Linked DNA regions of Canis lupus familiaris. The protein of the gene in region 2 binds, or shares a complex with, the protein of the main gene of each other region. Links are inferred from orthologs where the notes say so. Each region holds a gene or a part of one and is shown on either strand. Other genes may lie near its edges.

Region 1 (7,686 bases), on a different chromosome or scaffold from region 2:
ATGGTTCATTTCAGAGTGAAAAAAATTATACTTAAAAAAATTTAATAAATATACTTGGGACTAGAAAAGGAATTTTGATGAGGATATTAAGGATAAATATCTGAACTGTGGCAATTATAAAAGCACATTATAGTTTGTCTTAAACTTTTATATATGAATTTTCTTTTTTTTTTTTTTTTTTTAAAGATTTTTTATTTATTTATTCATAGAGACACAGCTAGAGAGAGAGGCAGAGACACAGGCAGAGGGAGCAGCAGGCACCATGCAGGGAGCCCGATGCGGGACTCGATCCCGGGTCTCCAGGATCACGCCCCGGGCTGCAGGCAGCGCTAAACCGCTGCGCCACGGGGGCTGCCCCTGAATTTTCTTTTAATAATAAAATGTATAACAAATAAACAGTTTAGTTTGGGATCAACCACATAAACTTTGAATCTTTAATTCAAGATTCTAAGCTCCTTGTATATAAGTCATATAGGACAACCCCAGTGGCTCAGCGGTAAGTGCCACCTTCAGCCCAGGGCGTGATCCTGGAGATCTGGGTTCGAGTTCCATGTTGGGCTCCCTGCATGGAGCCTACTTCTCCCTCTGCCTGTGTCCCTGCCTCTCTCTTTCTCTCTGTGTCTCTCATGAATAAATAAAATCTTAAAAAAAAAGAAGTCTATATGTTTACTTCACCATTGTGGAATATATAATAGACACTCAATAATTACTTAAATATTTACTAACTACCTATTACATATTAAGTACTATGCTAAATTCTATATGTGCTGCTGAAGTGAGCACCAAACTCCTTGGTTTTAAGAAGTTTTTAAATGAACTGGAAAAACAAGTCCCGTATGTAGTAATAGAAAACAATATAAAATTAAAAGACCAAACAGGCATATTGATAATTATAAGGCCAACTAATCCATCAGTAAAGGGTTACTGAGGTGGCTATGAAGTGGATCTTAGGAAAAAAAAAAATAGAATTAGGGACACCTGGATGGCTCAGTCAGTTAAGCATCTGACTCTTGGTTTCCACTCAGGTCATTATCTAAGTGGTATGACTGAGCCCTGGATCGGGCTCCATGGTCTGTGTAGAATCTGCTTGAGATTCTTTTCCTCTCCCTCTGCCCCTCCCCCAACTCATGCTTGCAACCTCTCTTTTTTTTAAATATTTATTTATTTATTTATTTATTTATTTATTTATTTATTTATTTATTTATTTATTTATTTATTTATTTATTTATTTATTTATTTATTTATTTATTTATTTATTTATTTATTTATTTATTTATTTATTTATTTATGATAGTCACACAGAAAGAGAGAGAGAGAGGCAGAGACACAGGCAGAGGGAGAAGCAAGCTCCATGCACCGGGAGCCCGACATGGGACTCAATCCCGGGTCTCCAGGATCGCGCCCTGGGCCAAAGGCAGGCACTAAACCGCTGCGCCACCCAGGGATCCCCTGCACCCTCTCTCTTAAATAAATAAATAAAATCTAAAAAAATAATAATAATAAAAAAAATAAAATCTTTATTTTTTAAAAAGAATTTATTTATTCATGAAAGACAGAGAGAGGCAGAGACATTGGGAGGAGGAGGAGAAACAGGCTCTATGCAGAAAGCCCCATGTCGGACTCTGTCCTGGGACTCTGGGATCACACCCTGAGCCAAAGGCAGATGCTCAACCACTGAGCCGCCCAGGTAGTCCCTAAATAAAATATTTAAAGAAGAAAAAGAAGGGGCACCTGGGTGGCTCGTCAGTTAAATATCTGCCTTCAGCTTGGATCATGATCTTAGGGTGTTGGGATTGAGTCTTGCATTGGGCTTCCTGCTTCTCCCTTTCCTTCTGCCCCCTCCCCTCTGCTTGTGCTTTCTCTCTCTCTCTCAAATAAATAAAATCTTAAAAAAAAAAGAAAAAAGAAAAAAGAAAAAAAAAAAAGATACAATGAGAGGAGAGGAGAATATTCCAGGATTTGGGAAGAAGGGCAGGAACAAATGGTACTAGTATGAAAAAGGACAAAGGCTTCAAATCACAGAAACTAAAACAATAGTAGGGAACTTACATATCACTTACTCCAACCCCCCACCATTTCTAAAGCACCTCTGTTGACTATTTATGAATACTTGAAATGATAGTTTAGTTTATTTTTGAATAGTTATATTAGAAAATTTCTCTTTAAAATATCTGAATAAAAAAGATGTCTATCAAGAGATTAATATTAAAAAAATTGTGTTAAAGTAATCTATGCATAAAATAATACTAACAGGCTGGAAAAAATAGCAGCTTCCTGCTCTAATTCTGACCTCTCCATCCTCTTGAATGGCAACCACTTTTTCTTTTCCAGTATCTACTTCTAGCAAATGAACACTTCAATTGTTTAGAAATTCGAGGCCATTCTTAGGTCTGTGGCTTTTGTGGGGACAAGTAGGAAGGGGTCAGAAAGCTCTTTTCTTAATTCTCAGTGTTTTGAGATTTCGAAATGATGTGCCTTGGTGCTGGTTTGTTTTCTTATGCTGAACCTTTTCAATAAAGGGCCCATTTTCACAATGGTTTCCTATATAATTGATATTTTTTCCCTCCTTGTTTGTTATTTTTCTGAAACAACAGGAGATAGGAGACCTCCTGAACCATTCTTCTGATTTCCTTTATCATTTTCCTCTTTAAAATAACAACAAACTTATCTTTATCTTTTTTGTACTACTTTCTTCCACTGAATTTTGTATTCTAAGGATTATGTTTCTGATTTCTAAGACCTCTTTGTTCTCTGTTTCTTTTCATAGTCACACACAGAGAGAGAGAGAGAGGCAGAGACACAGGCAGAGGGAGAAGCAGGCTCCATGCACCGGATGGATACATCTGATCTTGCTTCATGGATACTCTATCTTCCCTTATCCTCTGAGGATATTAATTTCTTAAAAAAAGGTTTTCAGGGTACCTGGCTGGCTCAGTTAGAACATAGGACTCTTGATCTCTGGGTGGTGAGTTTGAGCCCCATGTTGGGCACAGAGATGACTTAACCCATTACTTAAAAAAATAGGGGTTTTCGGGATCCCTGGGTGGCGCAGCAGTTTAGCGCCTGCCTTTGGCCCAGGGTGTGATCCTGGAGACGCAGGATGGAGTCCCACGTCAGGCTCCCGGTACATGGAGCCTGCTTCTCCCTCTGCCTATGTCTCTGCCTCTCTCTCTCTCTCTGTGTGACTATCATAAATAAATAAAAATTAAAAAAAAAAAAGACACACCAAAAAAAGACCGTGCTCTTTAAAAAAAATTAAAAAATAAGGGTTTTCTTTATTCCTTGCATTATCTGTTTTCTCTGAGTGCCTTTTTCCAGTTTATTCTGATTTTTCATGTTGGAGACATTTTTTAAATACTTTATTTACTTACATTAAAAAAATATTTATTTTTTCATGAGGCATACAGAGGCAGAGACATAGGCAGAGGGAGAAGCGGGCTCCCTGCAGGGGAATCTGATGCAGGACTCAATCCCAGGACCCCAGAATCGTGACCTGAGCCAAAGGCAGATGCTTAACCACTGAGCCACTCAGGTGCCCCTAACTACTTATTTTTTAAAAAGGTTTTATTTATTTATTTGAGAGAGAGAGAGAAAGTGTGGGGGTGGTGGCAGAGGGAGAGGGACAAGCAGACACTGCGCTCAGTCTGAGCCAGACTCAGCTCGATCCCATGACTGAGAGCATAACCTGAGCCAAAACCAAGAGTTGGGACACCCAACCAAATAAGCGACCCAGGTGCCCCTCAAATACCTTACACAGAATGCTTGTAATCATTCTACAAACATTAATAATGAAATGTACTATGTTTAGGTATTATGTTAGAGCTGGAATAGATGAAATGATTTTTTTTTTAATGGAGTGATATTTGAGCTTGGATTTTGACAGAAGGTAGCATCATTTGACCAAGAAAGGTCAGAGATCACAGATCTGCACTATTACAATAGTCACCAGCTACATGTGGCTATTTTAAATGAAATGAAATTGAAAATCCAGTTTTCACAATTCAGGTGGATTGTGCCACATGTGGCTAGTGACTACCACACTGAGCAGTGCATTAAATTTCCATCATCACAGGAAGTTCTATTGGCTTTGTGGCTATAGAGTGTCTCTTGGGTGTTGTTATATAAAGATTTGGCTTCTATTAGCAGAAGATTTATAAATTCCCTAGCTCCTTCAAAATCTTGAATATATAATTCAACCACAGTTTAGATATATATTACCATAACACTCATCTATCTACATCAAAAACAAAGAACAAAAGTACTGCATACATAGTAGTTGTTAAATAAGTAGCTGTTGAACCTAAGATTGTGAGAGTCAAACAACTATCAACACAAATTGACAATTTAATCTTATAGTATAGATCCTGGCATTTAGATGTTGCTTGGTAAATATCTGTTGATTAAATTGGATTCAACAGCACCTTCCGGCTAATTGATGAAGAATGGACATTGCTATGATATTATTTGTTAACATGATATCATGTTACATGATATTATGATATTATATATTATTATTTGGTGGTTTCAGGATAAATATTGATCCATTCTGGGCTGAATCCAAAGAGAATTAATTACTCGACTGACAGAAGGATGTCTATATAAGAAACATGTTAGGGCAGCCCTGGTGGCGCAGCGGTATAGTGCTGCCTGCAGCCCAGGGCGTGATCCTGGAGACCCTGGATCGAGTCCCACGTCAGGCTCTTTGTATGATGTCTGCTTCTCCCTTTGCCTGTGTCTCTGCCTCTCTCTCTGTGTGTCTATCATGAATAAATAAATAAAATCTTAAAAAAAAAAAAAAAAAAGAACTGCTAAAAAAAAAAAAAGAAACATGTTAAAATGAGACTTCAATATATTAACGTACCTCTGGTTCTATGTTTGATATCAGATTCAGCTTCGTTTCCCTCCTTTCCCTCATCATTAGTGGAAACAGCATCCAATTCATGGCAGATAGAGCTACAAATAATAGAATAAGATAATTTTTTAAACTTTTTCTTAACTCTATACTTAATGTGGGGTTTGAACTCATGACTCCAAGATCAAGAGTCACATGCCCTACCCACTGAGCCAGCCAGGTGCCCCAGAATAAGAGAATTCTAATTTTTTAAAAGATTTTATTTATTTATTCATGAGAGAGGCAGAGACACAGGCAGAGGGAGAAACAGGCTCCATGCACGGAGCCCGATGTTGGGACTTGATCCCAAGACTCCAGGACCTCACTCCCTGAGCCAAAGGCAGACGCCCAACTGCTGAGCCACCCAGGCGTCCAATTTTTTTTTTTAAGTAGGCTCTATGCTCAGTGTGGAGCCCAGTATGAGGCCTAAACTTATGACCCAGGGATCAAGACTGGAGCTAAGATCAAGAGTTGGATCCTTAAGTGACTGAGCCACCCAGGCAACCTAGAATAAAATTTTTTAAAGTTGGTTCTTGGTCAACATTACCCAGTGTGTGATAGCACATGAATCCCACAAGATTTTCTGTAAAAAAGATGTGACCAACTAAATTTGGGATAGTCTAAAAATCACAATCTCTTGTTAGAATTTTCCATGCATAATGAAAATTAGGAAATCTTACAGTAAAGAACGTTTTATCTGTTTAAGTTGTTATTTCCCAAACTTATTTGAACTTGTAATCTTTTTATTAGAGAAGAGCAGCTTGTGTTCTGTGGAACTCACTAGGAAATGTTGCCCTACTAGGGCATCATCATATAGCCTCAGAACAGCTGCCTCTCTGGAAGGGATCTAATTCAATCTACTTCAAATTTAGAATAACAATCACAAATTTAAAAAAAAATCAATAATCTAGAACATACCTTATGGTTGGAACAGTAAATGGATCAAACTGATCTACTTTCTGTAAATCAATAGGCACAGAAATTCGACCTGTAAGAACCAAAAGTTATAAATTGATGATTGTAAAATACAATCTAATGTGTTATTTTGGCTAAACTTTAATCTAAGGCTTAGAAAAAGGGTTAGACTCATCTGTTAAAAAAAACAATAGTTAGAAATTACTTACACATTAGCTGCGCTTTTAATTTCTCTTAAAAAATAGGTATGAAAGACTGTTGAGCTATTACCTAGTGCTCTTATCTATCTATCATCTATTTATTTATTTATTTATTTATTTATTTATTTTAATGAGAGACACAGAGAGGCAGAGACATAGGCAGAAGGAGAAGCAGGCTCCCTGCAGGCAGCCTGATGCAGGACTTGATCCTAGGACCCAGGACCATGACCCAAGCCAAAGGCAGATGCTCAAGCACTGAGCCACCCAGGCATCCCTCTACTTTTATTTCTATCTCCTTCCTCCTAATATCCTTTTATATATAAGTACAGAATGATATCAAATTAGTGAGTCCTGAAAATGAAATAACATAGTTATAGTTCATTTCATTAACTTGGTTTATTTGGTGAGATCAGAACAGACACCTATATGTTGGGCATCTTTGGAAAGCATTTTAGAGATAAAGTCGACAGCATTATACTACCATTTCATAATATCCACACCTGGGAACACCTCATAAAATTCATCACATCGCAGAAATGAGATAATGAATCTAAAAGATGCCAAGTAAATAGCAAGTAAAATAATTAGGAGAATTGAGAGTTGCTGCTTGAAGACTGCAGCTGCTTAATGGGAAAACGATATAATCAAAATGTACATACATATGAACATCATTATTTACCCAAACCCTGGATATTAGAATAAGGGGATACCCACTAAAGCTCTAGAATTAGGTTTAATAAATATTAACAAATATAGGGACGCCTGGATGGCTCAGTGGTTGAGCGTCTGCCTTTGACCAGGGCCTGATTCCAGGGATCGAGTCCCACATCAGGCTCCTACAGACAGCCTGCTTCTCCCTCTGCCTGTGTCTCTGCCTCTCATCCTCTCTCTGTCTCTCATGAATAAATAAATAAAATCTTTAAAAAAAATTAACAAATATATAATGAGCACTAGGTGTTATATGGAATTTATAAATCACTGAACTCTACTCTGAAACTAATCATATACTATATGTTAATTAATTGAATTTAAATAAAAAATTTAAAAAAAGAAATATTAAGCTTATTACCAAAAGAAGCTGAAAACACATAGTTGATAAGTTTGGAAAGGGGCTTATTCTAATATATGGACTAGAGAATCATTACAGATCATTAAAGGAAACTAGGCAAGTTGGGAGAATTGAATGTGTGACACTTTTTCCGAGCACTTTACATTTTAGATCTTCATAAGGGATCCCTGGGTGGCGCAGTGGTTTAGCGCCTGCCTTTGGCCCAGGGCGCGATCCTGGAGACCCAGGATCGAATCCCACGTCGGGCTCCCGGTGCATGGAGCCTGCTTCTCCTTCTACCTATGTCTCTGCCTCTCTCTCTCTCTATCTCTGTGTGACTATCATAAATAAATAAAAATTAAAAAAAAAAATCCATGGAGGTAGGTAGGTACTATATTATCTCCATTTACAGATGAGAAAACCAAGGCACAGAGAGAAATTTGCCTAACATCCCACACGAGTGACAGAGTTGGATTATTGATGCTAAAAAGGACAACTATATACAACTATGTATGTTTCCTGGGTGGATGATGCAAAGTTTATATCAATATAGCACCTTTTATATTTATTTTAAAGTCAGTTTCAGTCTATCAAAACATATTTAAGAGAAATGTGAAGGAAGAACGCTAAAA
Region 2 (7,686 bases):
AGCAGATCCCAGAGCTGAGGTCAGAGCACTCCAGGCAAGCTGGAATTCCTACTTGGCTGTCTGCTCTTGAGCCTGGGCTCCGGCCACACCTCATGGTACCACAGGATGAAAGTAAGAGGCAGCCAGTGATGAAATGGCTCATCCTACCCCCGCCCACCACATACAGTATAGAGTAAACAGCACACCTCATCTCACCTGTCCGGGAAACAGAGAATATTCTTTGAGCTCAGATAAATCCACTGGAATCTGGGCCCCTGAGGAATGTTCCCGGTCTCCCTCAAGAATCACTGACTTGCTATTCAGCTTCCCATTGGTATCACAGCCAATCTGGCCCAGCAGAATGACAGGCTCCTGCCGAAGGTATGACATGAGAATGACCGTCTTTGGGATAGGAGCTCAAAATCTGGAGTCGACAGAACGAACAGCATAGCAAACCCCAAGCAGGAAAGGTTTTTTTGGTGGGGCATCATAATGACATATTGACAAGTACCATCAGGGACTCAGGGCATCTGGTCTGCCTGCCCACCAGGTGCTTGAGCCTTTCTAAGTGGTCATCTAAACTTGGGCATCTCTAGTGAAGGGAAACTAGGTCCTTGTAATCCAAGGCAGCCCACTGCATCTCTGGATAGTTTTAACCATCAATAGCTCACGTCTATTGAGCTGAGTACCAGGCACTGTTCTAAAGACTTATGTGTGTAAACTTGTCTAATCTTCATAACAACAGTGAGTTGGATACTACTATTGTACCCATTTTATGAAAGAAAAATCAGCAACAGGTTACATAATTTAGTTAAGGTCAGAGACTGGGTGAAGTCTGGGTTTGAAGTTTGGTTCCAGAGCCATATTCTTAACTACACGTCATATTGTCTCTTAACAGGAAGTTCTTTAAATTGAGCTGAAAGTTCTTTCCCTGTGGCTTCCTCTATCCTGTTCCCACTCCTGGGGGCAGACTGAGGAAGTCTAATCTTTTCCCACAAGACTGAACATCCCTGCCTCCACTCCACCATTTCTTCCCAATTCCTCATAAACTTCCTTACATGACATGGTTTTGCCTATGGTGAATCTTCTCTGAATGTAAACAATGACAGAGGTAACTTAAGGAATCTTCTAGAACACATTTCCCTTTGGATTAGAAAAATGTTTCAGGGAGAAAGCACTGGAACATATGCCAGATTAAACTACAATTAAAGATACTACTGGCAACAGTTGATCTATAAAGGACAGAAACCAAACTGGGGGAGAGACTATGAGTCACTGTTTTTGGAAGCCCTACGCTTGCTGTTGTCCTCATATCCTGGTAACCAAACGCTTCTATTTGTAGAGCATCTCTAGGGAGTTACCTGTCTCGCCTCAGTCTCTGCTATGTGCAAGACCCTAATCCAAATGCCAAGAAGGGATGCCTGGGTGGCTCAGTGGTTAAGTGTCTGCCTTTGGCTCAGGGCATGATCTTAGAGTCCTGGGATCGAGTCCCACGTTGGACTCCCTGCATGGAGCCTGCTTCTCCCTCTGCCTATGTCTCTACCTCTCTCTCTCTCATGAATAAATAGAATCTTAAAAAAAATATGCAAAGAAAATGGTCATCTCTGATCACAAAACCAGAGAGCACTTCTAAGTCTTTCTTCAGAAGGATCCATTTTACAAAATTTGACCAAGATAGATATTCTCACTAGAATGAAGACAAGAAATGAAAAACGAAGCAAGGATACCTTTTTTTTTACCATCAGTTTAAAAATACAAAATTAATTAGGAAGGACTATGAGAACAATTCTTACCTGAGCTGGGACCAGAACAGGAGTAAAAGCCTCAATCTTGTAATGTTCCTTCAGTTCGCTGCCAAGCTCCTCTATCTTACAGGTCAGAACTGAAAGCCCAGAGGAGAAAAAGTACTATGTTTAGAACATTTCACTTGCCAAGAGGAGAAGATACAGTGCATTGTAAAATACTGCAATCAGTCATTTTACAGAAGCAGGAGGGTGCCCAGGACCACTTTCTAAAGCCCTAGCCAATCTACCAATATTTGGTTGTGGGAGCTGGCTTTCCATTTGGCCATGGATCATGGGGCACAATCTCCTAGAGTCAGCACAGATGCCCACAGCCCAGCCTTCCCTTTACTCCGGTCATCAGTGAGGTTTAGGGGGAGTCAAGTCCAATCTAGAGAATCTTCCATTCTTTACAAGGAAGAAACCAAAAATGTCTTTGACTTTATTTGGCTTCTTTTACACAGTTCAAATGGTTGTCACTGGAAAATGTTCTGCGCTTTTTCTTTAGGGAAGCAAAGTGACTTGGTAGAATTACTGAGAGGGTCACCTCATGTCCTTCCACTTCTAGGGGCATCTGGAGGACATCTACCAACTCTGTATTCAAAGGCAACCTTGGAACTTGTTGTACCAGCCTAGCTGAAGCTTTGTTACTCACTCTAGACCTTTCTAGGTAGTTTTATATTCTCCAGAGTTGCAAAAAGAAAAACAATTACCGTCTCGGATATCTGGAAGTTTCTGAAACATTGATTTGTAGCTCCCAGTTAGTGATTCTGGACACCCTAGGACCTTCAGGCTGATGTTGCTGGCCCTTCCTCTTCCAGACCAAGACACTCCCTGTGCTGAGCCAAAGGAGATAACCACTTCTCCTCGGTTATTTCTTGAGCTGTATTTCTGAGAGGGAGTAGCACTGATTGGAAGCAAAACATATAAGCATTACTGTATTCCTATCTAATGAGAGAGGGGAATAAAATAAGGTTACCTTTTAGAAATGGGGATTGGAGGAATGTCAAGCTGGCCTCACATTTTATAAATCTAATCAACTTAATGGGGCTGGACATACCAACCTTTAAGGAATTTCAGGAATGAGTTTAAGTTTAGAGACAGAGACATATTTTAAACGGCTTTCTCCTGGCTTACAACTAAACAAAGCAAAACCAAACCAAACTGAATGGATTAAAAAGTTTCAAGTTCCACTTTCTTTTCTTTCTTATAAATTTTTTAAAGATTATTTATTTGAGAGAGAGAAAGAGAAAGAGAGAACACGAGAGGGGGAAGGGCAGGGGGAGAGGGGCTCGATCCTAGGTTCTCGGGATCATGACCTGAGTTTAAGGCAGATGCTTAACTGACTCAGCCACCCAGGCGCCTCTCTGATGATTTTTTTTTTTTTTATACCATTTATTAGAATAACATGAGAGCCTGGCTGTGGATAAGCCCAAAGCTGCTGTGGATCTATAATACTTAACAATATAGTTCAAGGTAGACACAATAAAATGAAGTTAAGAACAATTAATCAACTTTTCCCAGTGTCTGTGGAGGTGGAGATGGAATGAATTCAGTTGGCTGGTGAACAAACATTCCCATTCTCCAAGGCTCAACTGACAAGTTCTTGTATTTCCATGCACTGACTGGTCAATAGGGACCCATGAACGTCGCTGAGCTCCTAGGAAGGTAGTGAGGGCACCTCATCCTCTGGCTGTGGATGTCGCTTACAGAGAGGTCTCCTCCAAACAGTCTGCACTTTGTGCACTGGGAGTCTGCAGGAACGAGTTTTATGTGGGCAGTACTGCCACTGGTGCCATCACCTCTCCTGTCCACAGAGGCTGCGGAAAATGAGCTCCACTAATGATCTCCATCTCCAGTGCTGCCTCTACCTGAATAATTTAGAAGTTACTTTCATAAATTACAAAACCAGTTTCTGATGTCAGCTTTATTAGCGTGCATTAAAAAGTGCCTAGGCAGCATACTGCGACTTCTCTGAGCTCCTCCCAAAGCAGCTCCATGGGACAGCTAAGACGGCCGGCCCTTTAGTGAAATGAAGTTTCTGGAATGGCGCTGGTTCAGGGGATGAGAACCATCCTCTACCCATCCAGTTTCAAAGATGCCCTCCTATGTCTGGAAAGCTCGCTTCCAAAACCAGTCTGAAAGCTCCCCAAAGTAGCAGGGGACCAAGCTAGAGAAACCCGTCCTTCTGAATCCCACGACCACTTGTATGGTATGACTGCTATCCCCTCCTTTCTACAGTGACAAAGCTGGGAAATCTAAAGCTCTGCTTCGTCTAGAAGTGGCCCACAATATAGGCAGTGACTCCTGGTAGCATATCCCTAAATGGTTAATGCTGACAGTTCCTTAGCCTCATCCTGGTGTGGCAGCACCAAACCTTTCTTCTACTCGGCAGGGCCCTCACCCATGGAATTCTCTAACAGAAGACATGTCATTTATGGATTTCAAAAAAACATCACCGGTGATCTTTGTGGATTTATGGGCAGAAGTGGCAGCAGGGAAAAAATGCCAATTAAGTCTTTGTAGATTCACAGTGACTTGCCAACTCTCAGAAACTAGTTGTAACCTGAGAGAGGGACAATAAACAGGTTACATGACATGATGAACACAGGTACGTGCTTTACTTTCTGAAAAATAGATACCGTTGGTGAAAAGGGGGAGGAAGAAGGGAAGAAACCCAACAACACCAAACTACCAGAGGCAGGCAGAAACCTATTTGTCTCTACTGGCAAGACTCCTGAGACTCCCAGACTTGTGAATAGACAGGTTGTTTTCTAGAGAAGATATCAGTTCCTGATCTAGGAAATGAACCCCAGAAAACTGGGTGGAAAATGAGTTTCCTTAACTGCTGCAAAACATGGGGATTTTCCACACAGGAGAAGGTAGGGAGGGAGGGCAGAGAGCAAGAGGCTCTGGAGGCAGGCACCGCAGAGGCACCTGCATGGAGACTGTCACACTGCGGGGTCAGCCACCTGACCACCACAGAAAGGGGAAAGCAGGCCTGCCGTCTGGCAGCTGGATTCATGCAGATCCATACCTTGGAGAGAAACTTGAAGGCGAGAGGAGTTGATGGGGACTCCGAGTAGACATGGTCCTTTTTGTTAGGGGTGTTTCTGGGGTGGTGATAGCTCGCTTCTGAGAACCCTAGGAACAAAACAGAAAATAAGAGCCCAGTCACTGCAGACCTGGGTTACTACCTGAGTGTACAGTCCCTGAGGAAGAAAAGCATGGGGTCCAAGGAAAGACTGTGCTGGTTTTCTTCCTTTTTCCCCCCCCTCAAAGATTTTATTTATTTATTCATGAGAGAAAGAGAGGCAGAGACACAGGCGAGAGAGAAGCAGGCTCCATGCAGGGAGCCCGATGTGGGACTCGATCCTGGAATCCCGGGATCACACCCTGAGCCAAAGGCAAATGCTCAACCACTGAGCCACCCAGGCATCCCAGCTGGTTCTCTTCTTAAGGCCCCATCTCTAAACATAATCCCTTCAGAAATCTTTAGTGGCTATCACCAAATCCATTGGAGTCCTGTCCTCATTTTGAGGGCAATTATGAAAAAGTATCAACATTTCCCAGAAGGCAATCCGTGCTGTCAAATTGTTCACATGGTCACTTTCTGTCTCTCTCCTTTTGCTTTAGAACAGTTGTGAGTTTTGACCTGGGCAGACATATTTTCCTGAGGAGGGATGGGATCACGTTACTACTCATTTTGGCAAAGTCCACTGCTCGTTTTCAAAATTAGAGAAGGGAACGACTCCAGGCAGATGGCACAGCTGAGCTCTTGGTTTGACTATTTAGCAAACACCTCATTGATGGTCACTTCTGTTTTCTGGCTTTTGCTCATTAACAAGAATCCAAAGGTGTGCCCGGGATGGAGGATGAAGCCCACAGCTCAGAGGTCTAGTGCTTCCCATAGTCTAGGATAGCTGGCTGTGGCAGAGCCAAGATAAAATCTTTGCTGGGACCACAACCAGGAGGCCAGCTGGTGTGCAGAGGATTCCCTGCCCTTGGGCTCCCCCTGGCTGCGTACGTAAGTTCTGCCACCACAGCTGCCTGCTGGTGATGACTGGGAACAGAACACAAGAGAACGGGCTCCAGACCATCAAGTAGCCAGGATGGGTATTAGGTCTTACAAAGATCCTTATGCTACCACTCTCATAACTATTTTTAAATACTCTTTTCTAGTGTTTTTATAGTTTTCCAATTAAAAAAATATAATTTCTAATACTTACAATCTTAGTTTAAGTATAATAACCCTTTATTTGAATATTACATATACTGATATTTTTCATGCTGTATTAACCATGAACACTTTCCCACATTGTCACAACCTTTGTCCTTTTTTTTTTTTAATTTTTATTTATTTACGATAGTCACACAGAGAGAGAGAGAGAGGCAGAGACACAGGCAGAGGGAGAAGCAGGCTCCATGCACTGGGAGCCCGATGTGGGATTCATTCCAGGGTCTCCCGGATCGCGCCCTGGGCCAAAGGCAGGCGCCAAACCACTGCGCTACCCAGGGATCCCAACCTTTGTCCTTTGTAGTGGCTGTAATTAAATTAATACATATAGTAGCTTACATAACTACTTCTCTACCCCGTGGATGTATGGAATGCTTGTAATTTTGGGTGATTATAGATGCCCAATCTTCACGAGGTAAAGATGAGTGAAGATGCCCATCTTCATGTGGATAGCCCCTCACATAATTTGCATTCATTCTTTCTTTCTTTTTCTTTCTTTCTTTTTTTTAGATTTTATTTATTCATGAGAGATGCAGAGAGAGAGAGAGAGAGAGAGAGAGAGAGAGAGAGAGAGGCAGAGACACAGGAATAAGGAGAAGCAGGCTCCATACTGGGAGCCAGATGTGGGACTTGATCCCAGGACTCCAGGATCACGCCTTAGGCCGAAGGCAGGTGCTAAATCGCTGAGCCACCCGGGGATCCCCTGGATTATTTCTTTAGGAGACATTCTGACTAGAGACAATTACTAGGCCAACGGATGGCTAAAATTTTATGGTTTTGACATAGTTTCTCAAACTATTTTCGTAAACGATTCTTGTAATACACAGGGGCTGTCAAATGCTAGGGCCAAGGTTGTGTGGGAGCATTCCAAGAGAAAGAAAGTCTGTCTCCCAGGACATGGCAAGAGGATGGCACTCTGGGAGATGGTGCCATTTCACTGCCCTTGACTGCAGCCCTCGCAGTGAAACCTGATAGTGTCAACAAACCAACTCCAGTTATGCTTCTCAAGGATGCACTCGTTCTAATCAATCTCATGAGACTTGCTATTAGCACTACATGCCAGCCTACTCCCTTGTAGTGAGAAGTACAGCGACCAAGGGTATCATAGTCTCATATCCCAGGGTAAGCACATTCTCATGCCACACAAAAACCCAAATTATAGCCCAGGTTGCCAGTTTATTAATTTACTAGAAATATAATGCTGGTGGCACAGGAACCTCAAATCCGCAGGCTAGCACATTCCCTCCGTGTCAGGCAGGACATGTGGAAAGCCAAATTATCACCAGGGGATTTATGGTGAGCATGGAAGCAAAAGAATAGCTATCAACTGCACAAGTCAAATATTTAATGATGATAAGGTAAGGCCACTGGAACACTCGCCTCTATGCCACAGGCTCACTGACCTGTTCTGAAAACCTGACGAGGGTCTGGCAGTCTTGTGCAGCACTGTTTGTGTGTCAAAGGCCAATATTTGGCAATATGACTCCTTTGTCAGAGGCCATTGATGTGTGGCCTAATGATGACTGAGCAGTTTCCATGTGATAGATACTGTTCTAGTATTTTATGTTTCTCTAGGTCAGACTCACATGGTCTCCTCTGAGCTTCAGACACGTATTTCATATTGTTTGCTCCTTTTGAACCGACTCACTTAACTGATTGCCTGGTCACCAAATGTGATCCACAACTGAG

What was found.
Region 1: POLA2 (region 2) and PRIM1 share a complex: the UniProt entries of both Homo sapiens proteins name them as parts of the alpha DNA polymerase complex. The link is inferred for Canis lupus familiaris from reciprocal best matches to the Homo sapiens genes POLA2 and PRIM1.

The regions. Positions count from the first base shown.
Region 1 is NC_049231.1:1,311,109-1,318,794, forward strand, and holds part of PRIM1 (DNA primase small subunit), read right to left. Parts: intron 5,880-7,686; coding exon 5,810-5,879; intron 4,954-5,809; coding exon 4,862-4,953; intron 1-4,861. UniProt on the Homo sapiens protein: Catalytic subunit of the DNA primase complex and component of the DNA polymerase alpha complex (also known as the alpha DNA polymerase-primase complex - primosome/replisome) which play an essential role in the initiation of DNA synthesis.
Region 2 is NC_049239.1:52,394,174-52,401,859, forward strand, and holds part of POLA2 (DNA polymerase alpha subunit B), read right to left. Parts: intron 4,905-7,686; coding exon 4,798-4,904; intron 2,668-4,797; coding exon 2,474-2,667; intron 1,862-2,473; coding exon 1,773-1,861; intron 352-1,772; coding exon 196-351; intron 1-195. UniProt on the Homo sapiens protein: Accessory subunit of the DNA polymerase alpha complex (also known as the alpha DNA polymerase-primase complex) which plays an essential role in the initiation of DNA synthesis.